Oryzias latipes: one gene and its partners. The protein of the gene in region 5 binds, or shares a complex with, the protein of the main gene of each other region. Links are inferred from orthologs where the notes say so. Each region holds a gene or a part of one and is shown on either strand. Other genes may lie near its edges.

Region 1 (4,514 bases), on a different chromosome or scaffold from region 5:
TCCCTGGGCAATTAGTTCTCAGTCTTTCATGGAGGTACCATCATTTTTGTCCAGCCCTATTTCATTAGGTTTTTTTTTTTAATAATTCTGTCAATCAACAACTCAGAAGTAATGGCTGATTTTGATTATTTAATTTTCAATTAATTTGAATTTATAATTTTATTGTTACTTTTGAACGTTTAAAGTCATTTCAGTGAGCCTTGTGGACTTTCTTTCTTTAACTGAGGGATACCAACAGTTTTGTCCACCACTATTTTAAAGGTTCATTGGGACAATTATTTTAATGTATTACATTTTTCTAGTAAGTGTAAATAGCTTTGCAGAGCATTTTTACAAAAGAAATTGCAATTTGTTAGCACTGACATGGATTATTATACAGAGAAGAGCCACTGTGTGGTAGCCTCAGGCTCACCACTGCTCATTCAGGCTCGCTCTACTACAAATGCACTCAGTTGACCCACATCACGCAAACCAATAGACACCCAGGGGCGGATCTGGAGTGGAGTGGGAAGGAAAGCACTTGATAAGCCAAAGATTTTTTTTTTTGGGGGGGGGGGGCTTTTTTTTGTAAGTTGACCGAGTATCTAAGTGCAGTGCTTGAGTAATGTTTAACTTAAGACTGAACTTAAGGGTTATGCGTAGCCTAAGCAGAAAATTGTGATTTACCATTCAAAGAAACTTTTCACTTCATGAACAAAAAGATGATGCCACTACATTTTGGAACTGCAATTAAATTTGCCCATGTCTTAAAATGCAAAAATCTCCTATATTGTGGTATTACAGTTTTCTCTTACGTTTGGTTAGATTTTGTTAGCAGTGGTTTAAAAAATGTTTGTGTTTATCTGTGGTAACACAACTACATTTTACTAGGACAGAAATTAAAATGCAAATACTTGCATTGCTCATTTGTATAAATAATAGTTATAATTTTCATAACACACATGCAGAAGAACACTCACAATGCATAATAAACATTGTTTTTATCACTGAAATTACTATTGTAAAATATATTATAAAATGTGCAGTATAAAGTACCTTAAAAAGGTATTCTGCTTACTAAATGCAAGCTACTTATTGAATAGGCTAACGTTTCTCAAGTTTAATTGAAACAAAAAAAGAATATAAAAAAAAAGAAACAAAAAAAAGAATATCAAAAAAAAGAAAGAATATCATGCAATCTGATTGTTTAAGTTTCACTTTGGACTATTTCCTATAAAATATGCCTTATTTAATCAAAAAATGTATGGAAGAAAATATTTGCACATAATTTAACTTTGGCCAGCTAGGCAAATACATTTTCAATCCCTTAACAAGACTTTACAGACAAAACAATTCCTTTGTGTTGTCAGCTGTCAGGTGAATTTCCTTGACTTGCTGAATTTTTGCTAATATTTAATGAACACTTTTAAATATATTATAGAAGCGGTTTTGACTTTTATTTTTTAAAGTGCCTTTATGAAAGCGCATAAACAACTGCAAGAGAAATGACATAGATGGCGAAAATCAAACAAAGCACGGTAAAAAGACTGAGAAGGATAAGTCGAGAAGAAGAATTTACGTCATTTCCTCTTCCGGGTCTCGTGGAAGAAACGTTACATGTACGGAGCGGCTAATCAGAAAGTTTGAAAGAAATGTTCAGGCTTTAGAGATTTGTACCCTTGAAATTAGATTCTTTTTGTGGGTAATTTAGAGTATATCTAAAGTAAAGAGGATTGTAGACAAAACTGAGAGGTTTGTATCCACCTTTAAGCCGCTATTAGCAGATTTCGGTAGCTCCCAAATGTAGCAATATGCTAACGTGTGCTAGCAGCGGTCGATGAGTTTTGGCGCAAGTAGCTAGTAGAGTTTAGCTTGTTTGCTATTTTGGTTAGTCTGGTTATTGATATGTTTTGATATGAAGCAACATTTTGTTAACTTAACTTTCATTTTTTATGACAAAAGGCAAACTTGTCCTCAAATGTGTTCGACATTTTTGACACGCAGGAGGGTCTCTCTGTGTCATGGCTTGTGATTAATAATGCCACTTGTGTAGCTCTCACTCATCAACTTTGTCAACAATAGGACTCCTGTTCCAACAAGAACTAAAAAAGACATCTGCGTGCTGTGTTTTGAAGGGCAGAAGGATGTCTCTTCCCAAGCGGGAGGTGGAGGAGTTGAGACCGTGGGTGGAGCGCACTGTGAAGAAGGTGTTGGGGTTTTCAGAGCCCACGGTGGTCACTGCAGCTTTACACTGTGTGGGGAAAGGATTGGACAAAAGGAAGACCACGGGTAAATTCCATGCTCATTTGCATGAAGAAAGAAGTTTTCAATCATTAGTAATTAATTCTGTTGTGGTTATTTTCATTTTTTTGTTCTGTTTTATTCCATCTTTGATGACACAGTTACTTGTGCATTTCTGAATTTAAGCGTCTCTTATTCATCTTGTTTTGAGGTTGCACATTAAGATAGTCTTATAATATAAAGCAAAAACAAACTCGTAAAAAATTTTAAGAGATTCTTTTGTTTGTCAAATGTTTGGTGCTTTTAGCTTTCCCGTAAACATTTGCTTATGATTACAGTCACTAATGGTCTTAGTCTAATAGTGTTTTTCAACCGTTGTGCCGTGTGATATTACCCATTTTCACTGATCTAAAAACATTTACCAAATCTAGGATATCAGCTCTGTGTTCATCCAAACAGGCCCCAAGAAAGCACTAAGTAGTTGGGAATATGAAAGATCGTAAAATACTTTTTTCTTTGTGTTTATTTGATTCTATTAAAGACATTTTGATAAGGCTGCACGTTGGCACAGTGGTTAGCACTCTTGCCTCACAGCAAGAAGGCCCCCAGTTCAAGTCCCAGCTGGGGGAACCAGAACATCAATGGGGGACCTATCTGTGTGGAGTTTGCATGTTCTCCCCGTACATGCGTGGGTTCTCTCCGGGGCCTCCGGCTTCCTCCCACAGCGACCTCCCACCTGTCCGTTCATACAACTCTAAATTGTCCCTAGGTGTGACTGTGAGAGTGCATGGGTGTGTGACCTGCGACAGACTGGCAACCTGTCCAGGGTGTCCCCTGCCTTCGCCCACAAGTGATGGGCTCCGGCAGCCCGTGATCCCGAAAGGGACAAAACGGAAGAAGATCATGAATGAACGAATGGCGGTACCGCGAGTTAGCCGCAGCTTCAGCTCTGTTTTTGGAAAAGTCCCACCCCTTTAACCCCTCCACCAATCATTCTTGGAGGTTTAATCCTGCGTCAACAGTCTGACCTCTCAGAAGTGGTTAAAGTCATCACTTCCTTGTTCTGATTTAGCTTTTTCCACTACATTTCCCATGATGCATTGGGTTAACGTGACAGCGTCTCAGCGGACGAGTCTTCCCTGTTAAACGTCTTGAAACCACAACAAACACACATCAGTTTTTAAATCTTCTTTATTAAATCAAAGGTCAACAGTTTAGTTTTCTTCAAGGTTTGTGTTTTTTTAATAACATCCAAACATCCCAGAGTTTGGTCCAAGTCATCTTTATTAATGAAACATTTTTCTTATAAGGTCTGTAAGAAATAGGATAATGTTGAAGTGGCCGAGAGACACAATCAAACAGAATTGAAACAATTTAATAATCTAAAAAGAAATAAAACATTTCTGTTAAAGTTTTCAAAGAATTAATCTTTGATTAAGACAAGAGAAAAACTAATAAAACTTCAACATGTTCACTTTTGATGTAGCTACAGAAAACATAAATATGTTAGTTTTGGTGTGTAAAACTTAACAATCATATTGTGATCATATAACTGTTCAAAAATTACAGTTGCCTTTGCACCAACATTGAAAAAAAATTGTAAAAAGTATATTATTTAGAAAGAATGTATTTGTTTTTTTGTGAGGTTACATGAAATTGCATGTTAATAAACTGGAGGGGAAAAAACATCTACCAGGGTAAATTTTCAATTAATTTATTTGAAAGTTATTACGGAAAACTAACTTAACTTTTATTACATCTTTTAGAAAAAACTGCTGCAACTTCCAGCTTTTTTGCCACAATTATCACAAAAATGTCTGTGATTGCGGAGGGACTGTAAATCAATACAGACTATAGAGTTTCTCCTTTTTTTTATTTTTGGATGCTTGTGTGCCGCAGGAATTTTGTCAAGGATAAAGTGTGCCTTGGCTCAAAAGAGGTTGAAAAACACTGGTCTTATATTAAGAAATGATTATCAACGAACTGTTGAATACATTGTTAATCATTTGACTCTTAATTGTCCTCAGACCAGTTGCGTCCCTTCCTCGAAGACTCAGCTGGTGGATTTGTTGAACGTCTTTTTGAAGCTCTTGAGGAAAGTAGAAGCAGCCGTGGCAGCAAAGGATCTGGAGAAAAGAACCGGAAGAGAGAACTTAAGGTAAATTAATGAATAAAAATTAATGATTTAGGCCTGCACAATATATTGCAAATTTATCGTTATTGCGACATCAAGCTGTGCAAATTGCATATCGCAAAGGACTGCAAAAATTGCAATAAATTGTAACCTTAAATGT
Region 2 (4,304 bases), on a different chromosome or scaffold from region 5:
ACGGATCGCCATATTTCATATATAAAACAGTCAAACTTAGTGTGTTAGATATTACTTTAAACTTTCCTTGATGTTTTTATTCATAGACATTCCAGTGAGAACATCAAAAACAATAAAGTAGTGGTTTTGATTGCCTCATCACTGAACTTACTCCAAATGTTGTCCGTATAAACTTTGTAACTACTTAAACTTCTTTTATACACAACAAATACTTAATCTTAGCATTTCTATTTTTCTTGTCTGATAGGTTTTCACAAATACATTGTCACAATCAGAAAGTGTAAAATATCATGCGCTTTGACCTCAACTGAATCCAACAATGTTTGCAGTTCTTTGCATGTTCTGCTTGTTCCACGGTCTTCTGTGTGGCATTCATTCTTGGCGTTGTTTTGCTGGCTGATGAAGTTTTCTACTGTTCCAAATTTTAATTTGTCTTGATTTTAGTGCAGCTAATGATGATTAATCAAATGCTTTGCTCTGCCCTTTGTGAGTTGTGTATCTCTGACACAGTTTAGGACTTGTTTAAATCCAAACTATGTGAATAAATGTTAAAAGCATCCCAGCAAAAGAATGCATCCAGCTCTAACTGGATTTCTCCTGGTGGCCTTCTCAGCTTATTAAACATAAGTGAGCTCGATCAATTGCTCACTTGTTTTTTTTTTCTCACTGTTTAATTGCTGAAGCCATAGAACATCCAGTTAGGTTGTAACATTGTCCGTCTAACAGGTTTATTCTGCAGATTCAAGCCTTTACAGATTGTCCAAAGGTACTAAATGTTTCTTCAGCTGAAACAGGCATGTGACTTGACATTTCAGGTCTCAATAATAACTTCCTCTGACTGCCTTATTCTAAGTCCTAACATTTGCCTATAAACAACCCTTACTAATTATTGCTCTCTTTGCCAATGAATAGCAACTGGTGCAACATGCAGCAAAAACGTAATATGCTAAACTCTTCAGTTCTGGGATAAAAAATTGTGAATTGATCCAACCGGTGTTGACATAAAAAAAAGTAGTTTTGAACTTTTTATTTTATTTTACAGGACTTAAATTAGAATGTAATGTCTTGACATGTGTCCTGCTTTAGAAAAAAGCCGGTTAAGAGTTTAATGGTTTGAAAACAGTAAACAGTTCTATTATTATTATTATTATTATTATTATTATTATTATTATTATTATTATTATTATTATTATTATTATTATTATTATTATTATTATTATTATTATTATTATTATTATTAACAGATTTTCTAAATTTAGCGCGTTTGCTACTTAATGCGATTTCGATATTTTTGACAACGGCCGGCTACCATAGACTGCACGTATATGATTGGGTAGTTCGCGGGTGTCGTTGAAAACAGTCGTTTGCTAGACGTAATAGCAGGTGAGTGGAATGTAAACCAAGCCATTTACCTCTGCTTGTAAAGCAAACATGCGTTTAGCCTATTTACATTGCAGATACAATTGTTTAGAAAATCTTAAAGAACCTCCGGCATTATCTCTACAGACATTAGACAGTTAACCCCGTCAGTAGCCAGATGGTTAGCTACGCTAGCAGTAGCAGCTAACGTCTCCCGCTTGCTCAGTGATTTAATTTGTTCATTGATGCTTATTTCTGTAGTTCAGCACGTGGTTGGAAAAAATGAGAGTTGGGCTTTTTATGTGGTATTTTAGCGGAAATAAAACATCGTTTTTTATGTATTAAATCCACGCTATTAAACATAAAACTAATCATGGAGGACGATGGCGATGCTAGCACAAGAAACTAAAAGGCTAATATACAAAAACCTTTATTTTTCAGATCAAGCAAGATGAGTATGAGAAAACAAACGCCGAGTGACTTCCTTAAGCAGATAATTGGTAGACCAGTGGTGGTCAAACTAAACTCTGGTGTGGATTACAGAGGTAAAACACCTGGCGTGCCAGGCTCAGCCGCACGGTTCTCCTTTATTGTTATTTCTAAATGTCTGTTAAGGAATGAGACTTTAACCAAAACTTTGTTCCTGTTTGCTATAACTTATGCAGGTGTTCTGGCCTGTCTGGATGGTTACATGAACATCGCCATTGAACAGACAGAAGAGTATGTTAATGGACAGCTCAAGAACAAGTATGGGGATGCCTTTCTGAGAGGAAACAATGGTAAGAGGTTACATTTTTACAATAAAAATACTGATTAAGCCTTCTGCACATAATGACGTTAGTCAAGGGGGTATGCCTTTAGATTATATGTTTTAACTTTACACTGAATAGTAGGTATGCATAGTCAGTTAAATAACCCAAAATCATTGGTTAATGATATTTGACCTATTCATCATAGTTTTAATTTATTTTTAAATACAGCGATGTATGTCTGAAACATGCAAATATGGTGAAAATATTTACATTGCATAAGGCATGCCTAAGAACTCATTTAAAGAAATTGGAATTATTGGTCAAGTTTAGGTGACTATGGTAGAGAGATGTGGTTTGGAGTTGTTTCTTTGCAGAAATGATTAGGTAAAAGTAGCCTAATCAAATAGATTTAATGCATGTCTTAAACCAGGGGTCGGCAACCTTTACCACTCAAAGAGTCATTTGGAGCCGTTTCCCACAGAAATGAAAGCACAGGGAACCGCAACACAAGGGGTGTTAGAAATAAAGCGTTTTGCTTTTGAAATGTCGCAATAGTTCATTTGACAATACTTGTATTGATTCAAAATGCTGTCAGGATATTTATTTAATTATTTATTTTAATTATTTATGAGCCTTATGTTTCCTTTGATCTTTTGTCCATTTTACACAACCTTGATCTTGTGCCCCTACGAGATTACCGCTGACTGTCTTTATAGAAGAACTTTCCATCCCATACCAGACTCTGGTCAGTATTCACATGTGCAGACACGCCCCCTCCGCGTGCTCACGCTGCGCTCTTCCTCCTGACCGCTCGCGCTACCCGACGGTGTTAAAGGCTCTACAACAATCTTAGAACATGATAGGTATTTTACAAAAATACAGACAGTCGCAGCACAGGGATGAAAGCGGCTCCGGAGCCGCAGGTTGCCTACCCATGTCTTAAACCAACAAAAAACTATTTGGGGAGTATTAGAAAAAAGTTGACAATTTTGCTAATAGGAACGTTTCAAAGTGATAGAAATGAATCTTAACAATTTTAAGTGCATGATTGATTTATATTGGTTTAACCAAATGGACAGTAATGACACAAATTTTTAAAGGTTTAAGGCAGTACGAAGCAGGATGATCTATAGGTGTGACACAAAAACGATCAGATGCAGATTGTTTAGGAGGCAAACGAATAGAATGGGCTGGCTAAAATATCTTTAACCTCTTAAGACCTGATGTCCACATGTGCGAACATCACATATTACCACAGTTGTTAATTTTGCTTAACTGGGGCCCTGTGACTATGTGTAGAGGGTTATCTCAAATATTAGCTCGGGTCTTAAAAGGTAAAACTATCACCTTCCCAGTTTATCTGAGTTTTTTCTTTTGCATATGGAAAATATATTAAAAAAAAGACTTTGGATACATCTGTAAATGGCATTTCTAAAACTGCAGTAAATAATTTCACTTTACCTTTAAAAATGTAAATTCTTTCACTAACTTATACCATCTGCTGTGAGATTTCATCTTTAGGTACACAAAATCTGTGTTTGGGGAATATTTGAAATTTGTTTGAAATGTTAACCACTAATGGAGAGCTAGCCTAGCATATTCTGACACAACACAATCAAGGAAACCTTACATAATGATGTAAGCTTTCTCTTTTTTGTCCTTTTATTTTCTAAAGAAACACACTTTATTCCTATGTGTGGACAACACAAAAATCCAAAAAAATTATATAAGGGCAATACCAATGTTACTACTTCATCTGCAGAGACAGCCTAAGCACTAGAGGTGTGTATTGGCAAGAGTCTGACGATACGATGCGTATCCTTATATAGTACCGGAGCACATTTTCTTTCTTTTTTAAAAAGAAAATGACTTAGAAAAATATCTGACTTAATTTCAATATGTCTTTCATTGTAAAAAAATGGTCAAATTCCATTTAATGATCACAATGTTGAGCACTGCAACTGTATCTCATATACAAGTTGCTTTTACCCAGGCAAATTCAGAGTGCTTTTATTTTGGTAACATAAAATATGGATAGGGAACATTCAACATTGTCTGATTTCCACAACAAAATATTTTTCAGTATAAGAAAAAAAAAGAATGAGTGAGCCTTAACCAACAAGGTTCTAAAAGTATGATTGAGGAATAAAGTGCGATTTTCAATATTGCTTAATGTAACTTCTCCGGTTCTTT
Region 3 (4,442 bases), about 8.6 Mb from region 5:
CTTTGAAGCAATCCTGAAGCTGCTTTTGAAGGACATTTTCACACTATAAACCACCTGACCTTTGACTTCTAACAGTCCTTCAACGTTGTAGATCTTCACATCTTAATACTCACCCACAATGTTTACAGGGGGCTGAATCACTGCCTTTAGGTAGGAGGCGATTTGGTGCTGGAATGAGAGGAATATTAATTTAAGGGAGTTAAGTTGGTGTTGAATTTCTTCTACTGTAGTAAATGGGTGGTGGTTTGAGTTTGAAGCCAGATGTGTTGCCCATGATTTCATTCAATGAACTGTACTGGTGTGTGTTTTTCTTTTTTATTATACAGCATTTATTATCCCTGAATGGGAAGTTTGTATTTTTGTTTTTTTGCAGTCGTGCTACACTCATCAGGCAGCATGCAGAGGACATGTTTGGGGGTTTTTCAGCATTTTCACGTTTGGACTGATGGTGAATGTTGTGGTGGCATTTGTTCTCCACACTGTTTGATTAAATCCTCCCTCCACAAATACCTTCTTTTTTCTTTTTTTTTAAATACAACAATTTGCACTTTCTTTAGGTTTCACTTGATACATTCCCAGCTTGTCTCAATAAATAAAAAGTATTGCTGTTTGGCCAAAACTCTAAATGAAATATCAATGCAAAGTTTACTCTCAATAAAAAGATCTGAAAGTTTGCTCCTTTGTTCTTTTTGTCTTCTTTCCTAGATCAATGGTTCCCAGCTTTTTGTGTATTTTGTAAGGATGTAAAGGATACAGTTACGTATTGAAAATTGATCAAGTACTGGAAGTAACAGCTCTATCAATCGATAACCTTAAATACGAGCAAGTTGGTGAAAAGGTAAAAAAATGAAATCAATCAGGAAGTAAATCGTTATTTTTTTTTCTTTTCTGTCTTTACTGTCTTTGCCTTTTTATGTACATGTGATGCCAACATGAAGACACCCAATCACAAAGCCTACTTCTACCAAATCGGGTCAATTATGATTGGCTGAATGTGAACCACAGTGTGCTGTGTTCTCTTTTTTCACGGTACTGCAAACAATGCCTGAATAAATTCCTATGACAATTTTTTGATCATAAATAAAAACAGAACAGTATTCGTAGTTGAAGCAGTTCTCTCAGAGATGTTTTGTTTTTGTTGCTTCAAAAAAAGGGCCAATAAGAACAAAATTTAAGAAAAAAGTTTCTCTGTTAAATGGCATTTCCATTAATAATTTTAAATGCCAAATACATAAATAGAAATCTATGAATAAATGACTGGTACTTTATTTTTTAGCACCATACAATGGCATCAGGGTGCCAAAGGGCTTACATTAACATAACATTTAAAATTGAGTAGATTGAGAGGGGAAAAAAACAGCATTAGATGGAAAAAACAATAAAACACATAGAAAAACAGTTAATAATTAAAGTAATTGGTAAGTAATTAAATAAAGACAGTAAAGGAATATTAGATGCCACCAACCCAATGAGTAAGAGAAAACAACTCATTTTTGTCTTTCCACTGACTGTTCTTCATCTCACCACCAGGCGGCGGTAAGACAACATTGACGGTGAGCGGTGGCCTCTTTCTGACGTCATATCAACGCGACACAAACGTTGGTGGTACATCAGCGGCCTGTGATTTCACTCGATCGCTGTAATTTTTCTCGTCGGTGGAGGATCTTTTCTCTACTGTTCGTCATGAAACTAGTCAGGTAATTTGCTGCATGGTCTGTAGATGTGTCGACTGGTTTAAGATAGGATGATGAAATAAAGGCTGTGTGGCCGGATGGGTTCAGATAGACAAATGAACTGTGTGGAGAGGCGGGAACAAGGCTGCTGGGTTTTCATTCAAAAAATACATATAAACATATCATTAGAGCTAACTATTTAATCAAGGATTAAACTGCTTGTTTTAGCAATATTTGTAAAAGATCGAGGCTGATTCGTTATCATTTATGGTTTTGCAAATTTCCCCCCGCATTATTAAAACTATCGTACTAAAGGAGGTTAATTTATTAGATGTTGTTTCCGTTTCCTCAAAGTGCTTTATCATTATTTAATTGTATTTATTTTTGGATGTTTTTAATTTCCACAACTTAAGAGACAAATGTTTTGTTTTCAGTTTACACAACAGTATCAATCCACCGAAGCTAACAAGCTAAGAGCTAACACGAGTTTTGTTTAGATACTAAAAAAAAAATACATTCAAAAAGGGGGGGGGGGGTATTTTGTACAATTTTATACGTTAAATCTTATGTGTTGTACAAAAATGCTGTCTAATGTTTGTGAGAGAGAGACGTCTTCTTTGTGCAAAGCAGTAAGTTGGCTAATTGATCATTCAAGATGGATCTAGTCATTAAAGTCTTCTACAGCAATGGTGCCAACCTTCTAATAAAGCGGTTTTTTATTGTATTTAATTTATCAAAATATTTTTATGATTAACAGAAAACGTTACCAACAATTATTTCTAACAAAAAGTCCGCATAAATGTTCATACAAAACATTAAAAAATGTGAATCTGAAAATGGAGTTTAAAGTCTTCCATTTTATCCAGTATGTATGGGATCAAATGCAGTTTTTGTATGAAATGGTGCATATCACAGTATGTTTATTTCCCTCGTTTTTTTTATGTTTGACATTTTGTTTATTTCATTTGTATTTTGTGAATATGAACAGACATAAAAATGATGCTTTTAATTTGTTAAAGTCCACCAATCAATTATTGATTAACATTTTCCTGTTCTAGTTCTGCTTAAAGGTCAGCATGTTATTAGTGTATTTTTTTTCATGGTATTGTCACTTTAAAACATTGACGTTTAAATGAAAGTGCCTTTTGGATTCAGAAAACCAAAATGAATGTGCCAATTCTAGGTTTTTGAAAAATACACTTTTGAGTAAGAATAAAACACGTGAACCTTTTTTGTTTCATGTGGGATGACAATAAATCATGTTTTTTTTTTTTTTGCGAAAATGATTCTTTCCCTGAAGTGTAGATACATTATACTGGTACTGCTTTTTGATTACAAAATGGTATGTTTGGTAAAGTATAGTGCAGTAAAACAACTCTTAAAGGTTAAGTAAATGTAAATGTATGCTACTCTCCCGTGTCCACACAGGTTTTTGATGAAGCTCAGTCATGAGACCGTTACCATTGAACTGAAGAATGGCACTCAGGTCCATGGCACCATCACAGGTGAGAGCAAACACTTTAGAGACGAATAAATGAACTAAATCATTTTTAAAATCCTCTTCTTCTTCTTTTTAATAGGTGTTGATGTAAGCATGAACACACACTTGAAGGCGGTGAAAATGACCCTAAAGAACAGGGAACCCACTCAGCTGGAGTCCCTGAGTATCCGAGGCAACAACATTCGCTACTTCATCCTGCCAGACAGTCTTCCACTGGACACCTTGCTGGTCGACATTGAACCAAAGATCAAGTCCAAGAAGAGAGAAGCAGGTGGGAGATTTGGGCACATTCTTACCTGGAAAATTGTATTAAGTTGAGAAGGATTTTTCTGCGATAAGAAATCCCTCAACAGTATTTATATTCATCATGGGTGTGTAAATCTGCTGTTTATTTCTTTGAGAAATGTTTTGTTCTGCTGATTAAAACTTTTTTTTTTCACGAGTATGGTGAAAGAATCTGGCCTTTCTTGTTCTCAGTTGCTGGTAGGGGGCGAGGCAGAGGACGGGGCCGTGGCAGAGGAAGAGGACGAGGGCGAGGTGGACCACGGAGATGATTTCAGAGCCCCAACTGTTTGTACAGCTTTTAATTGTACTGCGCGGTGGACGCAAAGTGAATCTAAGTGTAAGTTTAGGGTTGTTTTTCTTTTTTATACTCGTGGGTTGTTTAAGACCGCGAGGGGGTTTTGGATGCTGTTGATTCATAATTTGTACCATCTTGAATAAAATGTCTGAGCAGCATTTAAACTGGGTAAAAATGTCATCTGTTTTTTGCTTTTTTTATACCTTCTTGTGTCTTTGGCAAAGTTGGCTGAAAATGTAGCTGTTCTACTGGCATCAAAGAAGAATAAATCTTTTTTTTTCTCTTTGTAATATTTGGCTCTTTAATTGGCTTGATTAGTTTTCACTTTTCCTATAAGTGATTGAAATAGGTTGATAAGGTTTTTTTTCACAGTTTCTGGAACTGATTACATCTCAACTTATTGTTGATGATGTTCCAGATACTGCTGATCCACCTCTGGTGGATGGTGTGGATGTTGATGACTGCAAATGTAAAAACCTTTTGTCCAATACTTAGATGGGCTGGCTCTTAACCCACATAAGTTTCCAATAAAATAAAGAAAATCCACTTTGAATTTTGACATCATTGTAAAAACTTATGTTTGTTATTGAAGATCTCTGTTTGGATTTTTCTGAAATTTAATATTTTTTCTCAAATTCTATTGGCAACACACCCCACCTTCATGTGTACTATCATTAAGATATTCTTT
Region 4 (4,496 bases), on a different chromosome or scaffold from region 5:
CGGAGACCCTCACAGCTGACGACTCCTTCTCCCACAATCAAAAGAAACCTGCCGTTCTCTCTCATCCTGCACGCTGCGTCAAACCCAACGTAATGACGCCATCAACGGAATGACGGCTACGGTGGCTGAGAAATGTCAACTTAGGGAAAAAACAAAAAGAAAAAATAAATAAATAAAAACTACACAAATATCCTATTTTAATACAACCAATTGTCTTGCCTGTGTTTTATCATAAAATAAGACTTTAATTAAGTACCAAGCTATAAATTAGTTGTTGCAAAAATTGCACCAGCAAAAATATGAACGTGTTGGTCAAATTATATAAGGATTCACGTAATTCAATTACATGAATCCATTTGGTAATGAAAAAAATTATTATTTTTTAAACCACTGTCACATTTATTTAGACTTTACCAAAACCAGACAGACCTTAATCATAAAATAGAATAGAACAGAATAGAATAGAATAGACTTATTTTATTGTCACTGTGTCACATGTACACGCAACAAAATTCCAGCTTTTCCTTTTTTATAATACAAGGAGTTGTGGCAGTGATCTATTCAATATTATTCTTCTCTTTCTTCTCTATTATCCTCATTTTATCATCATTATTTTTTTTAATTTTATTCTGTACTAATTTAAGGAATAAAAATGCATTTCACTGAAAATGAAGAAAAAATTACTGTATTATGTTTAGTCTAGACACTCATACCTAATGCGAACTAATCAGCAATGGTACAATCTGAAATTTGAGACACAGGATTTTGCTATAAGATATTATTAAGCGGTTTTATGCTTTGAAGGAAATGTTTGTGTATAGATAGATAGATAGATAGATAGATAGATAGATAGATAGATAGATAGATAGATAGATAGATAGATAGATAGATAGATAGATAGATAGATAGATAGATAGATAGATAGATAGATAGATAGATAGATAGATAGATAGATAGATAGATAGATGGATGGATGGATGGATGGATGGATGGATGGATGGATGGATGGATGGATGGATGGATGGATGGATGGATAGATAGATGGATGGATAGATAGATAGATAGATAGATAGATAGATAGATAGATAGATAGATAGATAGATAGATAGATAGATAGATAGATAGATAGATAGATAGATAGATAGATAGATAGATAGATAGATAGATAGATAGATAGATAGATAGATAGATAGATAGATAGATAGATAGATAGATAGATAGATAGATAGATAGATAGATAGATAGATAGATAGATAGATAGATAGATAGATAGATAGATAGATAGATGTTACACTTGGTCCTCTGTATTTATTTTTGAATTTCGTCACAGTAAAAGAACAAAAGAAAATGCTCCTGTGTTTGATAGATAGATGTTACACTTGGTCCTCTGTATTTATTTTTGAATTTCGTCACAGTAAAAGAACAAAAGAAAATGCTCCTGTGTTTGCGCATGTTTTGCGCTAGGGGGCAGTCATGTTTTAATAAGACGTGGCACCGAGTACGTAGAAAACGAAGAAGAGTCTGCGAGTAAAAATCGTGTTGCTAATCTAAGGCAGCACAAACATAACCTACCAGAATGGTAAGTTATTACTTACAAATGGACTATTTTGTAAAAATCACACACTATATAAAAATACTGACCTGTTCTTTGGCTTCAAAAATCCCATGTAACTGGTTTAAACATCGCAAATCAAGGCTAAGCTACGCTAGCAACCAATGCTAAATTGTTTTCTGCTTGTGGAACGCTGACTATACAAGTGGTTCTTTTTAAAATTATTTTCTATATAAATATATAAGGGGGGGGGGTCACCATTTCAGATACACGTTTAGTACTAAACTAAACACAAACGAATCATTATAGTTCGGAACAGAGCTTAAGTTTCTCCGCCGACACAGAAATACATTCAGACGTGTTCTTCATTTCTGAATCAATATTCCTTTTAGAATGCATTATTTTAATATATCATAGAGATCATAAATCGGACCCATTTCTACTATTTCGCAGCTTCCCTTGTCCCTTTTGAAGACGGCCCAGAACCATCCTATGGTAAGAAATAATTGCTTTTCTTTCCTCCTTCTATTCCTTATCTGGTGATTACTGGTTAAACCATTTTATTCAGTTACTTGTGGTTTTAAGATCAGGTTTTTTGTTTTGTTATTGAGATTGTTTGCATGTTTTTCTTTAAACAATAATTTTTGTGCATTTCTTTTTGAATAAAGAAAGAACCTTTTAGAAAACCATAATCACCAGCTGACCTTTTTTTCAATGAACTTTGATTTTTTTCAGCTGGTTGAACTGAAGAATGGAGAAACCTACAACGGTCATCTGGTTAGCTGTGACAACTGGATGAACATCAACTTGAGAGAAGTCATCTGCACATCCAGGGTAACAGATTTGCTCTCATGTTCTCAGTGGAGAACGATCCATAAACTGCACACCTTAAATAAAAAAAATTAGCTTAAATTTAACAGTCGCTTACCTGTTTCCTTCAGTTTTCATTCTGACTACCTTAGCCGTTTAAAGACCCACCCCAATTAAAATAGTGTATTTGTTTGGTTTGGTTTTTAACATGTTTTGTGGCATTTTTCTCATAATGACGGACATATATAAAGAAAGTTTGTAGGCAATTAGATCCATTTACGTCTTGGTTTTCCTCGTCTGAGCTGGCATCTGGCTTTAAACTGTACGTCTGTATAGCTTCAACATTCCCCACCAATTTTCTTGCACTTGGTGTTAGATTGGGGGTATGAGGGTGTGTAAGCTAGCAGGAGAGTGGAAACAAAGGGACCTTGGAAAATGCGGCAGGCTTTTTTAGGTATATTTCTAATGAACTTCTGTCACTCTGCAGAAACTGTCCTAGAAAACAAGACAAGTTTTTCATTTTGGCTTAAAGCTGCATAATGAAAAAAAACAAAATCAAAATACTGGGAATAGATCAAAAGATAATTGAAGTGAGCCTTTAAAATATAAAGACTAATGTATAATGAAGCAATGGTTTTAGTAAAACATCCTTTGATACATGTTGGAACAAAAACCTCAACGCTAATTTTTTTTGTTAGAAGAAAAAGGACTGATTATTGTTAAAGGCCCTGTACCATGCTATTCCTAAACCATTCATGGTAAAGAATATCCATATATATATTACCTTTGGCCCACAAAAGAAAGATTTTTTAAATTAAATATTAGTTACGTGGCGCAGTGGTTAGCGCAAGATCCCCCAGCCAAGTTTTGGGGACTTGGTTGCTGTTGGTCCCCCAGCCAACTGCAAGCCCAGCCAGGTCCAAGACTTGGCTGGGGGACCTGAAAAAGAACCTGTCTGTGTGGAGTTTGCATGTTCTCCCCGTGCATACGTGGGTTTTCTCCGGGGACTCCCACCTTCGTAGGTTAATTGGTTACCTTAAATTGTCCATAAGTGTGAATGCAAGTGTGCATGGGTGAGTGATTTGTGGACCTGTGACAGACTGGTGTCCTGTCCAGGAAGCCCCCTGCCTTCACCCATGAGTAGCTGGGATAGGCCCCGGCAGCCCAGTGACCCCAAAAGGGACAAAGCGGGTTTAGAAGATGAATTAAAAAATGATGAATGAATATTAGTTATTTTCCTGAGTTATTTTCCAACCTGGAAGCAAGACGACTGGATCTGAGGCACCGGCACTTCCATGATGTCAACCTATAGCCAGCATCAACAACATGTCTGTGTCTCGCCCACGAAACAAACAACATTCAAACTTTCGTAAAGATGAATGTGCATATTGAGCATGTAAAGAGAGTTTTGCCAAACACCACTAGCTTCATGGAGTGTGTGTTTTAGCCTGGGGGCGGGGCTGGCAGCGCAGACTCTTCCTGGAAGGGGCTGTTCTCACTTATCTACATCAGCTCGTGAGAACCCGCTTGTTTTTGTGGGTTAGGTGTGGCTGGTTCCTGGAGCACAGGTTTTTAGAGGAATTCTCAGAAATGCGTGAATGGGTCAATACTGGTTTGAGGTTTCTTTATAATACACCGGGAAGTTCAAAAAAGGGATTTAGCATAGACCCTTTGAAGTATACTGGTTACACTCATCGTTTGGTCTTTTTCCCACAGGATGGTGATAAGTTTTGGAGGATGCCAGAGTGCTACATCAGGGGAAGTACCATCAAGTATCTGCGAATTCCAGATGAGATTATTGACATGGTGAAGGATGAGGTGGTTTCTAAGGGTCGTGGACGTGGAGGTGCCCAGCAGAATAAGCAGCAGGGTAAAGGAAGAGGCGGAGCCGGCCGAGGTGAGAGGAAGCAACTTCTGCATTTGTTCTGTCATGATTTGCCTTAATGAGACTTAGATCAGCTTAAAATAAGTAAAAAATCCCTCTGTTAAAGCTTTTAAACACATCTGGTGAAACATCATCTTTATTTGTTTAGGAATTTATTATTCTAACTTGCTGAATTTGACATTTTTTGTGTCTGTATGTAGGTGTGTTTGGCAGCCGCGGCAGAGGGATGTCAGGTCCTGGTCGAGGCCA
Region 5 (4,331 bases):
CTGATCCAAAATGTTATGAAGACCTGGGTGTTTTGCAGAGGAGTTGTAAATCTTAAAATGGTGAAAGGGGGTTTGAGCGCTATGTGACTGCTGAGAGACTTGACCAGACGGCTGATTTTGTGCAATATGAAAAACAGCCAAAACAAATTTAAAACAGTCTTTATCAGCTTTAAAGAGTGAATGCAGTGTTTGACGATAGTCCGGAAGCTGACTATCACTGTTGTTTGTAAAACAATCATGTGTCCTACATAAGATCGTGTAACATAGTTGGATTTTATGAATCATGTGTCCATTTAAAACCACAGAGATGTGACTGTGTAGCTTAAAGGGGAAATTAAAATGATGTATCTAATGATAATTGAACTCTCTTTAGGAGTGCCATAATGTGCTGCTATGTTAAAGACTGGAAAGTTTTCCTATAACCTTTGAACTGTGTTCGTTCTTTCTGTTTGTACTGTAATGAATTGCACAATAAATTTTTTATCTGTGTTTTTTCCTGCTTAAAACCGTTTCCTGTATCTCTGCCTACTTTCAAACGGAAGTAACACTCGTTTCAAGGAGCAACAAGAGAATAAAACATTGAAAATACAAAGGTAAATCATTATTGGGGGTTTTGATTTTACAAGTTATTTTTTTGCGTCAAAATCGTTTTTACTTACTGAATCTTAATGAACTATACTGTGCAGCTACTTGTCTTTTGAAAATTGTGCAAGCAGTAGTCCATAAACATTTGTTTTTCACTTGTGGTGCATGTACACATGCATCCCTAACAGGAAGCTATTATTTCTACCCATAAAAGGTTAGAGGAACAAGGGCATCCAAAAATTGATCATATGGGATGATTTTTCTTTTGGGGTTTTAATTACATTAAACGTGAAAATGCTTTGTCTATCAATTCTTCCTTGAAAATGTGGCAACGTAGAATAAATCTTATTCATCCTACAAAGAGGGGAAAAATGATCTACATAAAGAAATATATAAGGGGTGATGTTGTGTTAAGAAGTATACATTTTTCTACTTTCCTTTATCTTTCCGAATGTAGTGTTTCATTTTCTTGTTAAATTTGACATTTTAACCTAAATCTTTCTTTTAATAACTGGTTTCGCATAGCCTGCTTTCGATTTAAAGCCTTCCATGTAGTTTTTATTAAATTGTTCACTTTTGTCAACATCAGTTAAAGTAATACTAGATTTGTCATAAAATAGGACAAAAAGGAACAAAAAATAATACGTTTTCTCTGAATAGGTTTGTGGGATGTTGACGTAGACATTTTGCGACGACGTCGCGAGTTTGTGACGTTGTTAGGAACGAGCTCTAGATGCTGAAGATAGATTTTTTTTTCTTTATTGAGAGAACAAAGTAATTTTATCTAAGCAGAAATCTAATTTTATTTCATTATACTTAGTTTTGCTAATTCAAGGTAAGGTTCTTTCGTTCATGTTTGTGGTTCCGCATCTTCTAAAGTTTCGCTGTCATGATTTCTAGATTTTTCTTCAGCTAGCTTAGCATTAGCATTCATCAACCTCCTCTTCTCCGCGGTTATTTAACACTTTAAGATAACATTATCATTCAGAATTTTGGGTCGGGGGCGGTCTCGGATTCTCCATCTTTAGGTCAAGATGTCGTACATGCTACCGCATCTCCATAACGGCTGGCAGGTGGACCAGGCCATTCTGTCTGAGGAAGACCGAGTTCTGGTGATCCGCTTCGGACACGACTGGGACCCAACGTGTATGAAGATGGATGAAGTTCTTTATAGTATCGCTGAAAAGGTTTGATCAGCTTCTTATGTGCACCATAATTTCTATGGAAAAATAAAAGGGCTCGTCTGGTTACAGTATTAAAAGGGAAAATTATTTGCACCTTCCTTTGGTCCCCAAATCCCCCTGCTTTTGACTGTTAACAAGTTTGATAATAAATGCATAACATGAGAAAATATTCAATGGGTAAGGAAAGCTTAGCAGTTAGAGAAAACAGTTTGAATGTCTGCAGTCATCCTTTAAAGATTTCATTTAAGGATTTAACCCTCTTCTCTGGTTAGTTGCTGAAAGAAGGATCATACCTGAAGATTTAACTGAATCACAGGTTACAGTAAGACGACGGCAGTTTGTGACAAACCCCACTGCACCAACATACATAGGGTTTACAGAGAAATGGCGTTTTGGAGAAACATTCATACGAAAAACATCACCACAACAGCCAAAAAGCTCCAGATAAAACAGGAATTTCCTGATTCTTAATTGACGAATCGATTTCTTTTCCTATGAACCTACCAGATCCATCTGTCTGAGGCAAGTAGCTCATCAAATCAGCCTCTACCATTTTAAAATACTTTCAAAAGGAGATAAATCGATAATAGAATTGAAATTGGAAAATACAATTAGGATTGAGACATGGTAGGTTTATTTTACTGTAATGTAATAACGACCAATTGCATCACGGTGGACAACACACATGTGAGGTCAGCAAAAACTGATCAACCATCATAACAGTCCAATGTGTGGAAACAATATGAATTTAGCAAAGACGTGACCAGACAGTGTGGTAGAATGTTGTAATATTGTTCCCTTAGGATTCTTTGGATGTGGAAAAACAACAGTGGACTGAACTTTAGGAAACTAAAATGTGAATGGATTTGACTTTCATTCTGGTTTACTTGTTTGTTTGTACACATATTAATTTAAACTTGATTATCTTGAAGAAATATAAGGAATCTGGAAAACGTCACCTGTACTGTTCAGTATCCAGGTATTCATCTCTGAGTCACACTGGTTGAAGTTTTGGATAAAGATGTTCTGGATCGATCTTAGGCCAGAGAATCAGATCGTTCAAAATAAACAAATATCGATTATGAATCTGATCAGCAGCCACAAATTATGATATGAATTGAATCGTTAAAATGAAGTTTTAGTTTTTAATGTTCCTCTAAATCTTATTGACTGTTTTGGAGATTAATTTCTGTTCCTTAACCTTCATTAAAGTCACAGCTTTGGTTTCAGCAATCAAAGTCCAGATCCTTGTTGTTCTAGTAACCGCCACCTTTGTCTTCTCAGGTGAAGAACTTTGCAGTCATTTACCTGGTAGACATCACAGAAGTGCCCGACTTTAACAAGATGTACGAGTTGTACGATCCTTGCACCGTCATGTTCTTCTTCAGGTGAGGAACCCTCATCACTGGAACACAGGTCCTCATATCATATATGATGTCCAACGCTCCTGCCTTTGGTTTGTTTTCCAGGAACAAACACATCATGATTGACTTGGGAACTGGAAACAACAACAAGATCAACTGGCCCATGGAGGACAAACAGGAGATGATTGACATTGTAGAAACGGTGTATCGAGGAGCCAGAAAAGGACGGGGTCTGGTTGTTTCTCCCAAGGATTATTCTACTAAATACAGATACTGATTCTCACTTTTTTTAAACCATTTTTTACCCTTTTTGTGTATTTTTGTTTTGTTGATGACAAACAGAAGAAACTCTGCTTTTCCAGCAAAGGAGGACGATATTCCAGCTACTGGTCTCATTGTTTTCTCATCAGTTTTATTCAGTTTTGAAGCTTGTTTGAATTTTTGTGAATAAAAGTGTCAACAATCTTACGTTTGATTATTAAAATAAACTTGACTTTCATGTAAATATATTTAGGAAATTTTCTCAAATGTTTGAGTTTGTTTTGAAACTTTACAGCATTAAATCATTTTGCTATGGCAGTTAAAGACGTCACAGGAAGTGCAGTGACTCACAGCGGCTGTTGATACTTACTAGAGATTATGTCTAAATCAAATCAACTTCCAGTTTTGTTTTTTTGGGTGCACTTGCCAGAGTTGTCCGGTAGGTGGCATCATAGCAGTTCCACGTATGCACCAGTCTCCAGCATCACATGCAAATGCTCCTTCCTGCCGTGGCCTGGGGCAGTATTGGGACACGGCCCATCAAACAGACTTATGTGACACTTTTGTGTTGCTATAGAGATCATCTGTGGAACAAAGAACAGGAAATGACCTTAAAAGAACTTTATTTCATGATAGGACTTTTCCCCAAAAAACGGGGATCTTTGTGCTGTCAAACTAATTACAAATAGTCTGAATTAGAAACGAATGAATTAGATATCAGTTGTTGGAAGGCTTAATTTCGAGGAACTTTGTTTAACTATTTTCTGTGAAAACTGAGATGTTCTCATTTAGGATGATTGATTTCAACACAAAAATACAGTGACTGAAGTTTTATGTTTAAAGCAAAAAGTCACTAAAAGTTAAGCTGATTAACAAAGGGGTTGATAAACAGAGATACAAAACAATAATGCATGATCATGTGCCTTCTAAAGGATAA
Region 6 (4,398 bases), on a different chromosome or scaffold from region 5:
GAGCAAGCAGAAAAACAGTGTTAGTCCACCTGAAATTCTCACTGATTCTCAGTGAAGAGCAGTATAAACAGGAAACAGTGTGAACTGAGCGTGGAGCCTGTTTGCGGTGCTGTCTGAGCTTGTTGCAGGATCTCTTCCATCACAAAGCCATGATGTAGCTGAGGGTGGAATGGGCAGTACCACTGCTCTGATCTGCCTCCCCTCCCACTGACAAATCCAGTATGAAGAACTGGATCGTCCTGAGAAGAGAGGAGGCGCACACCTGTAACCCTACAAACACAACGCGGAGAATAGCAGCCTCACAGGACCAGAGGCTGTGTATGACATCACAAACAGAACGTCTGCAACCCATTTAGTTACATTAACCAGTCTAAACTAGTGATGTTCAATAAATATAGTTTTTTCCCCAAAATAAAATAATGACGCAATAAATCACAACCGCTGCATCATTTTATCTTTACTTAAATAGCATTTTGCTTTTTATTTTCCAACACTTGGTTGGTATCCTGTATACAAGAAATTGTTATTTTTAATAAAAAAAATAATAATTGAAAAGCAATTTATTTCGTTTTTCTGCTTTTTAAGTCCACCTATTATAATTTTAGACTGTTATTAAAACGATTTCTTATCTTTAAATGCAAGACTTTGAAAAGAGTAATCAATGAACATAAAATAGCCTTTTTTGGTCTGTTAGTTTCAATTAATAAATCGATTAATTATTTAGTGTAATCATTAAAAATAAATATTTGAATAAACTGCAGATTACATTTTAGGAATATATTCTCTCTTAAAAGAATTTTAACGGTTTTCTCACTAACGGAAAGCTTCATTATGTGTAACTATTTACATTTCATTTCTCGTTTACATTAACATTTCGCATACGGAATATTTCTAAACAGACCCGTTAGACACTGAATTCCCAATAACAGCTTTACTACCACTCAAAACGCTCTGGAATATTAGTGTAGACAGGACAAATACCTCAAAATGAACAGATATTTATGAATTAATTTACCTTCTCGCTGCTCTGCGCGGATGACACGACAGTGTCCTGTGAGGACAGAAAGCTCTGGAAAACGCTAAAGGACGGTACTGGATAACGTTGCCAGGTTTGAACATACACGCAACGCGTCGAGAGAAAGGTGAATTTCTTTTCTTTATAGTTTAGTCTTTTCAGTTGTTTCAATTTAAAAGTGGCAGGGATGCAACAAGGAGATGTTTGTGTTGTATTTAAATTTTAGGTAAGGACTATGTATGGATTTACACATACTTTAAATTTAGTCTTTTAAGGATGGATGTTGATACCATAAGTTTTAATAATAAACATTTCACATTCTCAAAGTACGCATAGATATATATTGTAAACTAATTATTTGTATAAAATTCAACTTTGTTGAACTGGAAATCGAGGGATAATTCGAAACGCACGTGTGTGTTGCCGTTTGAAATCTTAATTTCACCGGACCTGGCAACCTGCGTACCGGAATCGACGCGCGCATGCTCGAACAGTATGGCGGACGAAGCTGAGCAGGTTAGCGGTTCTTTCGCTAATTATATGTTTAACCTTACAACGAACGAACAGAAGCCCACTTTGCTTCTAAAAGTGCAGACTGCGCTGCACGCTGCATTATTTTTAAAGTGCTTTAAGGTTATTACAGGAACGTTTTTGACCTGTTTGGGGCCGTGGAAGCGGCTAACCGAGTTAGCCGAATTATTAGCCTTGGTGTTCCTGTGTTTCAATTGAACGCAAATGTTTGGTTTGAAACACAGTTCATTGCTTTAGTGCTAACCAGGCAGCTAAATAGTTTATACAGGAAGGAAAGTTTGTGTAAAATGTGTGGGGAAAACAACAGCTGTAGCTCCAGCCGTCGAGGGCATGCATTCTGCTGTGTTCATTAAACGGCCTTCTTCTGATTCTGGTTACCTCAGGTGTGTTTTGCTAATCAACAGCAGGCAGACTAGGACACCTGCCCTCGAGGACTGAAACTTTACATTTGAGGTTTCTACTCTCTGAAACGCTTGGCGTTTCTGGCTGCCGGCCGCTCTGGGAGGGGGGGGGGCGCCTACCGCGGCCGGCTGGGGGGCCGGTCGCTCGGGGGAGCCTTCTCCCCCGGTTGTGCCCATCCGCCCGCTCCTCCCCGCTCTCACCCAAACAAATATTGCACACAGGCACATAGGGCCCCGGGATCTGGATGGGAGGGGTATGCTGGCGGGGCTCACTGGGGATGCCCCTCTCTGGGTTCTCGTTGGCACCCGCCCTCCTCCCCGCTTTTTACTTGCATATTAGACACTCTGATTCATCTAGGGCCTTGTGGAGAGGGTCTGGTGGAGGGGGGCACGGTGAAACATCCGTGCTCACCTTTCGCTGGCCCCCCCACAATTTTAACTTCCTCTGTAGACACACACACTGCATGCTAGCAGCACACACACAGCAAATACACACCACTCACAGAGGGACTCCGGAGTGGGGGGCTTTGCGGCTTGGCAGCGGTGGAGCCCCCCACACTGGTGACCTCCTATTTTACCTGCAGCACACACACAGCACTCCCACACCTCCATACATGGGTGGGGTCGGGGGGGGGGGGCGGCCGGTCTTCACCCGCCTGGTCCTCTCAGGGCGGCCAGGCTTATGGGTGTCCTGTCGGCTGCGGGAGGGGTCGGGCATGCGGCGCTGGGGGTTGGCCGGCTGGGGGGGGGGGGGGGGGGGGGGGGTTACTGCTTGGCGGCGGGGGTAGGGAGGGTAACCAGATGATTGTGAGTATGTGTGTGTGAGTGCATGGGTAGGACCGACCTGGGGGCTGGCTCGCTGGGACCCTCTGGGGCTTTCCCTCCCAATCACAGAGAGGGGAGGGCACTGAGAGGGTTGGGGAGGGGGGGTCAGATATTATGGCGGGGGGGGGGTTGTAGTGCGTCGGGTTTTAGGGGGGTGGCTGTGGCTGCGGGTGCGTGGCGATCCCTGGGTTGCTAGGGTCGCGTGCCTGGGCTGGCTTGCGGGGACGGGGCGCTGGTCGGGTGGTGGCCGGCTCATGGGTTCCGGGGCCCTGGCTTCGTCCCTGGCCTTTGTCTCGGTGTCCGGCGCCCGGTGGCCCCCATGGCTGCCGCCTGGTACGGCTAAGCGCTCCTGTCTTGTGGCCTGGGGGCCGGACACTGGGTTCGCTTGTGCCTCTGGGCATTGGGGGGGCCCCTGTAGGGGGGCCCTCTCTGTGCCTGGCTGGTGGGGTGGGCGGTCCCCTCCTCCTCCCCTCCCGGGCTGCCTGGGTCCGGATGCTGGGGGGGCTTCTGGCCTGGGGGGCTCTCCTCCCCTCTCCTGGTCTGGCTGGTCTGGCTGGGTAGGATCTGGCTCCCTTTATGAACACACGGTTCACGTCGGCAGCATGCATGTATCTCCACCCCCACGTGCACGTGCACACTGCCACACTGCTCCCTGTCTGCTTCATCCCTCCTCCTTACCTACAGTGTATTGATGGACAGTTTTTTTTCCGCTCATCTTAGTGTCAGATTTTGACCTTTGATGTAACATTCGTCTTTCCAGCAGATCTGGTATAATTGTTACAGCTTAAATTAATAACTTAGTCAAATCAGTGCTTGTATCCCCCACCTTTTCACCTTTCTTCCTTTTACTCTCTTCCACCCTCCCCTCACATTCTTCCCCTCTCCCTCCCCACACACACTAAATGTAACAAATAAATAAAAAATAATACGACAAAAAGGGGTTTATACAAATCTACACTCTAGTTTCTTGAAGCTATATAACCTCTTTTTGTGATAGTAAAACCTGTCCAACACAAAAAGCCTTCAGCTCTAATCTGTTTGCTCAGAAGTTGGACAGAACAAGTTAGAAAAAAAAAAAAAAAAAAAAAAGATTAGTAAGCAAACTGACTTTCATTCTAATCACAAGGTTTAGAATTTTTAGTCACCAAAATGTTTTTTTTTTGTCTTTTATTTTTATTTTTAATGCTATACTCTTAATTTAACAGTTCAAACACATTCACACAGGTTACCCAAACGCCAATACATGTAATCTGCCTTCACTTGTTTTGCTGAAACCCATGAGATTAGTAATGCTTTTATATTAAACATATATAAATGTCACAAAACAGTCGTTTTTGGTGTCTTAAATGTAGGTTGGATGTTTCAACATTTTATTTTGATTGCTGAATTAAAAACTGTGAATCACAAGTTGATTTCTGTGTTGTCAAATTGTGTTGAGATGGGAAAAAAAGTAGTATTTTCATTCTGGTTCAGCAGACTCTCAGCGGCAAAGACTTTAAACTGAAGTTTTGTTTTTCTGTGTGTCCTCAAGCAACCATCCACCAACACGGTCGAGGAGCCGCTTGATCTAATCAGGCTCAGTCTGGATGAGCGGATCTACGTGAAGATGAGGAATGACCGCGAGCT
Region 7 (4,304 bases), on a different chromosome or scaffold from region 5:
AAAGCATTGACTAATAAACACATTCAATATCTCTTTCACTAAAACATTACATCTGTGATAAATTCAACATTTGTCACAATTATGCAGATTAATTGATTGTACTGCAGTTTAAGATATTACAAAATACTTCAAAGTAAACTAATTGGACAAAAATGAACTGAGTAGGGCTGTCCAAATAATTGTATTTCTCCATTTAGTTAGTTCTTTGTTAGACAAAAGTATTTCTATATCAAAGATGTTTAAAACAACAATTACATTGCAGCATATTTTTAAAAGAACTCTGGCAAAAGAGCAGTTTTTGAGAATTATAAAATTCCTTAAATAGTTTTGAAGCCATTGACTATATTTATAATACAAACAGAGGTTTTGATGAATTTACAGGCAATTCTATCAAATACTAATAACCATAAGTGACTGACCTCCTTCCTCCTCTCTTCTTTCTCTGTCCGTCCAGCGGGGCTGGCAGTGGTTTGACCTGCTTCACTGGTGGAGGTTCCTGCCATTTATCAAACTTTCTCTCTATTTCTTCTTTTAGGTCATAGCCAACCTGCATTACAAAGGGAGTTGAATAACAGAGACAGAAATTATATTTCTGAATGTTCCTTTAATTTGAGATGTTTACCTTTCCATCTGGACTCTCGTGGAAACTGTCTACTCGAGAAGCCAGAGTGCATTTCGCGGCCACCAGACGAGCTGCCTTCCTCCTAAGGTCCTGAGGGGGGAGAACAAAAGGGGAAAGGAGATAACTAAGGCAAACAAACATTAGATGTGGAAAAGGTACTTGTTATTCTTGAATATGGTGTACTGACAGGAGGCAATGACTGCACAACATCACAGTGGTAGATGTAGCCCGTGTGAGGAAGCAGCGATGTGCTACTGAAGCCTGACAGAGTTTTCCTTTGGGCTCCCAGCAGCATCAAGTTGCAGGCTGGCATCTTTGAGAGGTTTGTTAGGCCTCCAGCAATGCCTTCAGCCAAACAGGGAAAAAAATTCAAAAGTAAGAAAAAAAAATGTATGGGCATAAAAAAACTTGATATTTTCTAGATAGTTTCACTTCCTCACCCATGATCTTTGCTGCAGTCGATGCTCCCACAATGATTGACAGGTTTGGAGCTATAAAGGACATTCTGGACTCTACATATTCATATATCCTGTGTTTTGACTGGTTGAGCTCCAGAGCCATGTCACAAGCCTCCTCAAGCTGCTTCAGCTCATCTTCCGTTAGCAATGACCTTAAGAGGAAAACAATAAAATATATAAAGGGAGTGTCTATGTAAATAAAATAAACAACAGACATAATAATGGAAATGTTAAAAAAAAAAGTTTATTGTAATAGGACACAAGTACCAACATTCTTAAACTTACCCCTGTGTAGTTGATGCAGTGACACTGACGACCATAATGGTGGCATTGGTTAGAATTTGCTGCAGGGTTTCATTGTTTTTACATTTCTCCAGGTTGTTTCCCAATTCCTTTATACGAAGCACACATTTACAACAAAAAAAGGGGGAAGATTTAGAGGTTAGATGCAAAAAGAAAAAAACAAACCTATGCAGAATAATGGAAACCATTCAGCAAATCTTTTCTTTTAATAGAAGAAAAACAAAATCAAAAATTTGATATCCGGTAACTTCAACGTCTCCAAACTTATCTTTTAAGATCAACAAACCTTGACTGTGCGAATGTAATCTAAAGAATCTGGAACCAAAGACTCAAGCTCTGGAAATCTCTTGGAGTATTTGTCCCTTGTAAACTTGTGAATGATGTCTGAAAAGACAGGAGAAACACAGACCTCACACTTTCAGTTGAAAGAATCCAATTTCTTCATTAGGTTTTGTCGCACAATAAAAGTCCAACTCACTAAGCTCATTGTCAATTTCAACTGTAAGATTGTTGGCTGCAACAATCAGCCTGTATTCTGGGTCAGCCTCAACTGGTCCTGAAACTGAAAGAAAATACAGGTAAACAGGAGAAAAAGAAATGGAAGTAAATCAGTAACATTTTCTGTTAAAATGCACATTTTTTCAACACTCACCATCTGAATTCTTGCGCTGTTTTCCAATATATCCAGATATTTTTTCAATTATATCTGAAAACTGAAAACAAGCAGTTAAAAGGGACTGCCTTCAGGTAGTGAAAAAAAGGAACTCTTTATGAGAGTCAGCTAAACAAAGACCTGTTTGCTATTGCGGAGCTTGGCGATAGACGTAATGCTGTCAGTTTTACTGTAGTCCACCTCCATCTCTTCGGGGATATCTTCCAGTCTTTCTGTCCTCCCTGAAGCCCCCTCTCCATCACTCCCTCCTTCCTCCCCCTCTGGGTACAGCCCATCTTCCCCCTCATCTCCAGCTTCCTCCAGGTCAGCCAGAAGCTCGTCAGCCAATGACATCTGCAATCAGAGTAAAATTCATGATCCATCTTCTAACAATGCATCTTTCAGCTTAAACGAGAGTAAAAGTGTGGGCAGTTGTTAAATTTGTGTTTATTGCAATTATTTTCAAAAGGAAGTAGATCTAACGAAAGTCTATCAGTGTTATTTTTTATAAACATCCCGTTGAAAAAAACAAAAACTGATATCAGTCTGCTATTCTGTGTTAGCTAGCTAAAGTTAGCAAACGTTCACCAAACGTCATTCAACACTGAAAAATAGTAACTTACGTCGCACTTTCAAAATGAAGTAAAACAAAACAAAAATATATTTATATTTTTTTAAAAGTCACTTTAGACAGGAAGGGTTCTAATAGAAGCCAATATAGGTAATGCTACTTGTGCGGCTTCTTGCTCCTGTTTACAACATAAAGCTCACGATCCGGGTGGTTTGTCGCAGAATAAATACGTCACGATTTCCGCATGGGATTATGGGTAAGTATCCCCTTTCCTTAAGAGATGAGAAAATAACATACGGGCTTCTTTCTAAAAATGAATGTTCGGTCTTTATGAGTTTACTTGGTTGCTTTAATTACCTTCTCTTAAAAAATGTGTAGTAGGTCGCAACTAAATACATATTTATTCGAATAAGGAGTTACATTTCAGGCCACAAAATAAAAACACAGGTTTTTTTCTAGTATTCCGAAAATGACTTTACTATAACTCTTCTTTTATTTGTAGTTCTTAAAATATTGTTTTAAAAATATTTTTCTATTCTTAATTTATTTTATATTATTTATTAGACCCTTAAAAGCTACCTGTACATAATAGGAAGAGAAGTTAAAAAAACAACAACAAATAACTAAATAAATGACTAGTAAGTTTCTGTGACAAACTGTTAAAAAAAACGTATTCAAAAGTGATGGGACAAAGTAAGAACTTAAAAACTTTACATTTTATATTTAAATTGCGTTTTAAAATATTTACACACAAAATATAATACATACATGGCAGCAAAGTACCAGTCTTGCATTCAGGAAACTAGAGTTTGGTTAACTTTTTTTTTTTTTTTTTTTTACAACAATTTTAATAAATTATGATACTTCACCATAGCACACAAAAACTTTATAGAAATAAGACAATTACCTTTACAATCAAAATTTCATTCACAAAACAATGGGCCACAAATTCTTTATCAATGGACGTTTATGCTTTGACCAATTGTGGTTTCCCACTTTATTAGACTTATATTTATTAACTGTTCTATTTTATACATTTTATTCTGTAACTGACTTCTGCTTTCAGTAGAACATATTTAAATATTACTTCTAATTGACACAATATAGGGACTCAGAAAGGACCCTGCCCTTGCAACAAATTGGTGAGGTATTTGAACGAATGAACAATGACTGGGACATGACCCGTATTGGATAAGAGGCTCACATTTTGTAGTTTTTATTGTACATCCTCCCCTTTGAAACCCAGTTTTTAAACAATACAATTTTAAACCAACATTTAAACAGACTAAACAAATGGACTAGTTGGACCTCAGCTGCATGATTGATGGCTATTAGTAGAAAATGAAATAAATTAACAAATACACAAGCAAATGGTCTTATTTACTGATGAGCAACTGTTCTGTCATGCTAAGCTACATAAACGGTCATTAAACAAGATAAAGAATGACAAGACTGCTAATAATATAAACATGAAAATAAGGAAACATTACAAGACATAATTCAGTACAGTACAGATTGGCAAGTATTAACAAGTAAAATTATACAAAATAGTTCTTTTTTCCAGCAATTAAGACGTTTTGGGAAAATATTTTATTTGTCATGGAGAGCTTAGACAAGGTATACCTTTAATGTATCTTGTCCCAAATTAAACCTAAATTCCTGTTTGCTAAAAGCACCAAATAAATAGATAAGAATAAA

The links.
Region 1: txnl4a (region 5) and prpf3 share a complex: the UniProt entries of both Homo sapiens proteins name them as parts of the precatalytic spliceosome. The link is inferred for Oryzias latipes from reciprocal best matches to the Homo sapiens genes TXNL4A and PRPF3.
Region 2: txnl4a (region 5) and lsm6 share a complex: the UniProt entries of both Homo sapiens proteins name them as parts of the precatalytic spliceosome. The link is inferred for Oryzias latipes from reciprocal best matches to the Homo sapiens genes TXNL4A and LSM6.
Region 3: txnl4a (region 5) and snrpd1 share a complex: the UniProt entries of both Homo sapiens proteins name them as parts of the U4/U6-U5 tri-snRNP complex. The link is inferred for Oryzias latipes from reciprocal best matches to the Homo sapiens genes TXNL4A and SNRPD1.
Region 4: txnl4a (region 5) and lsm4 share a complex: the UniProt entries of both Homo sapiens proteins name them as parts of the precatalytic spliceosome. The link is inferred for Oryzias latipes from reciprocal best matches to the Homo sapiens genes TXNL4A and LSM4.
Region 6: txnl4a (region 5) and lsm3 share a complex: the UniProt entries of both Homo sapiens proteins name them as parts of the precatalytic spliceosome. The link is inferred for Oryzias latipes from reciprocal best matches to the Homo sapiens genes TXNL4A and LSM3.
Region 7: txnl4a (region 5) and prpf31 share a complex: the UniProt entries of both Homo sapiens proteins name them as parts of the U4/U6-U5 tri-snRNP complex. The link is inferred for Oryzias latipes from reciprocal best matches to the Homo sapiens genes TXNL4A and PRPF31.

Annotation. Positions count from the first base shown.
Region 1 is NC_019874.2:18,946,583-18,951,096, forward strand, and holds the start of prpf3 (U4/U6 small nuclear ribonucleoprotein Prp3), read left to right. Parts: upstream 1-1,555; 5' UTR 1,556-1,731; intron 1,732-2,114; 5' UTR 2,115-2,123; coding exon 2,124-2,268; intron 2,269-4,247; coding exon 4,248-4,378; intron 4,379-4,514. UniProt on the Homo sapiens protein: Plays a role in pre-mRNA splicing as component of the U4/U6-U5 tri-snRNP complex that is involved in spliceosome assembly, and as component of the precatalytic spliceosome (spliceosome B complex).
Region 2 is NC_019859.2:18,489,303-18,493,606, forward strand, and holds the start of lsm6 (U6 snRNA-associated Sm-like protein LSm6), read left to right. Parts: upstream 1-1,295; 5' UTR 1,296-1,383; intron 1,384-1,800; 5' UTR 1,801-1,810; coding exon 1,811-1,904; intron 1,905-2,024; coding exon 2,025-2,138; intron 2,139-4,304. UniProt on the Homo sapiens protein: Plays a role in pre-mRNA splicing as component of the U4/U6-U5 tri-snRNP complex that is involved in spliceosome assembly, and as component of the precatalytic spliceosome (spliceosome B complex).
Region 3 is NC_019869.2:22,965,416-22,969,857, reverse strand, and holds snrpd1 (small nuclear ribonucleoprotein Sm D1), read left to right. Parts: upstream 1-1,551; 5' UTR 1,552-1,683; coding exon 1,684-1,697; intron 1,698-3,101; coding exon 3,102-3,178; intron 3,179-3,253; coding exon 3,254-3,445; intron 3,446-3,651; coding exon 3,652-3,728; 3' UTR 3,729-4,300; downstream 4,301-4,442. UniProt on the Homo sapiens protein: Plays a role in pre-mRNA splicing as a core component of the spliceosomal U1, U2, U4 and U5 small nuclear ribonucleoproteins (snRNPs), the building blocks of the spliceosome.
Region 4 is NC_019862.2:13,834,261-13,838,756, reverse strand, and holds the start of lsm4 (U6 snRNA-associated Sm-like protein LSm4), read left to right. Parts: upstream 1-1,456; 5' UTR 1,457-1,576; coding exon 1,577-1,579; intron 1,580-2,005; coding exon 2,006-2,047; intron 2,048-2,287; coding exon 2,288-2,386; intron 2,387-4,078; coding exon 4,079-4,259; intron 4,260-4,447; coding exon 4,448-4,496. UniProt on the Homo sapiens protein: Plays a role in pre-mRNA splicing as component of the U4/U6-U5 tri-snRNP complex that is involved in spliceosome assembly, and as component of the precatalytic spliceosome (spliceosome B complex).
Region 5 is NC_019869.2:14,391,607-14,395,937, forward strand, and holds txnl4a (thioredoxin-like protein 4A), read left to right. Parts: upstream 1-1,273; 5' UTR 1,274-1,420; intron 1,421-1,613; 5' UTR 1,614-1,619; coding exon 1,620-1,772; intron 1,773-3,053; coding exon 3,054-3,157; intron 3,158-3,238; coding exon 3,239-3,410; 3' UTR 3,411-3,601; downstream 3,602-4,331. UniProt on the Homo sapiens protein: Plays a role in pre-mRNA splicing as component of the U5 snRNP and U4/U6-U5 tri-snRNP complexes that are involved in spliceosome assembly, and as component of the precatalytic spliceosome (spliceosome B complex).
Region 6 is NC_019863.2:18,333,493-18,337,890, forward strand, and holds the start of lsm3 (U6 snRNA-associated Sm-like protein LSm3), read left to right. Parts: upstream 1-1,427; 5' UTR 1,428-1,510; coding exon 1,511-1,531; intron 1,532-4,303; coding exon 4,304-4,398. UniProt on the Homo sapiens protein: Plays a role in pre-mRNA splicing as component of the U4/U6-U5 tri-snRNP complex that is involved in spliceosome assembly, and as component of the precatalytic spliceosome (spliceosome B complex).
Region 7 is NC_019874.2:19,364,253-19,368,556, forward strand, and holds the start of prpf31 (U4/U6 small nuclear ribonucleoprotein Prp31), read right to left. Parts: upstream 2,832-4,304; 5' UTR 2,659-2,831; intron 2,390-2,658; coding exon 2,177-2,389; intron 2,097-2,176; coding exon 2,036-2,096; intron 1,946-2,035; coding exon 1,862-1,945; intron 1,768-1,861; coding exon 1,670-1,767; intron 1,473-1,669; coding exon 1,366-1,472; intron 1,233-1,365; coding exon 1,063-1,232; intron 968-1,062; coding exon 810-967; intron 713-809; coding exon 623-712; intron 548-622; coding exon 420-547; intron 1-419. UniProt on the Homo sapiens protein: Involved in pre-mRNA splicing as component of the spliceosome. Required for the assembly of the U4/U5/U6 tri-snRNP complex, one of the building blocks of the spliceosome.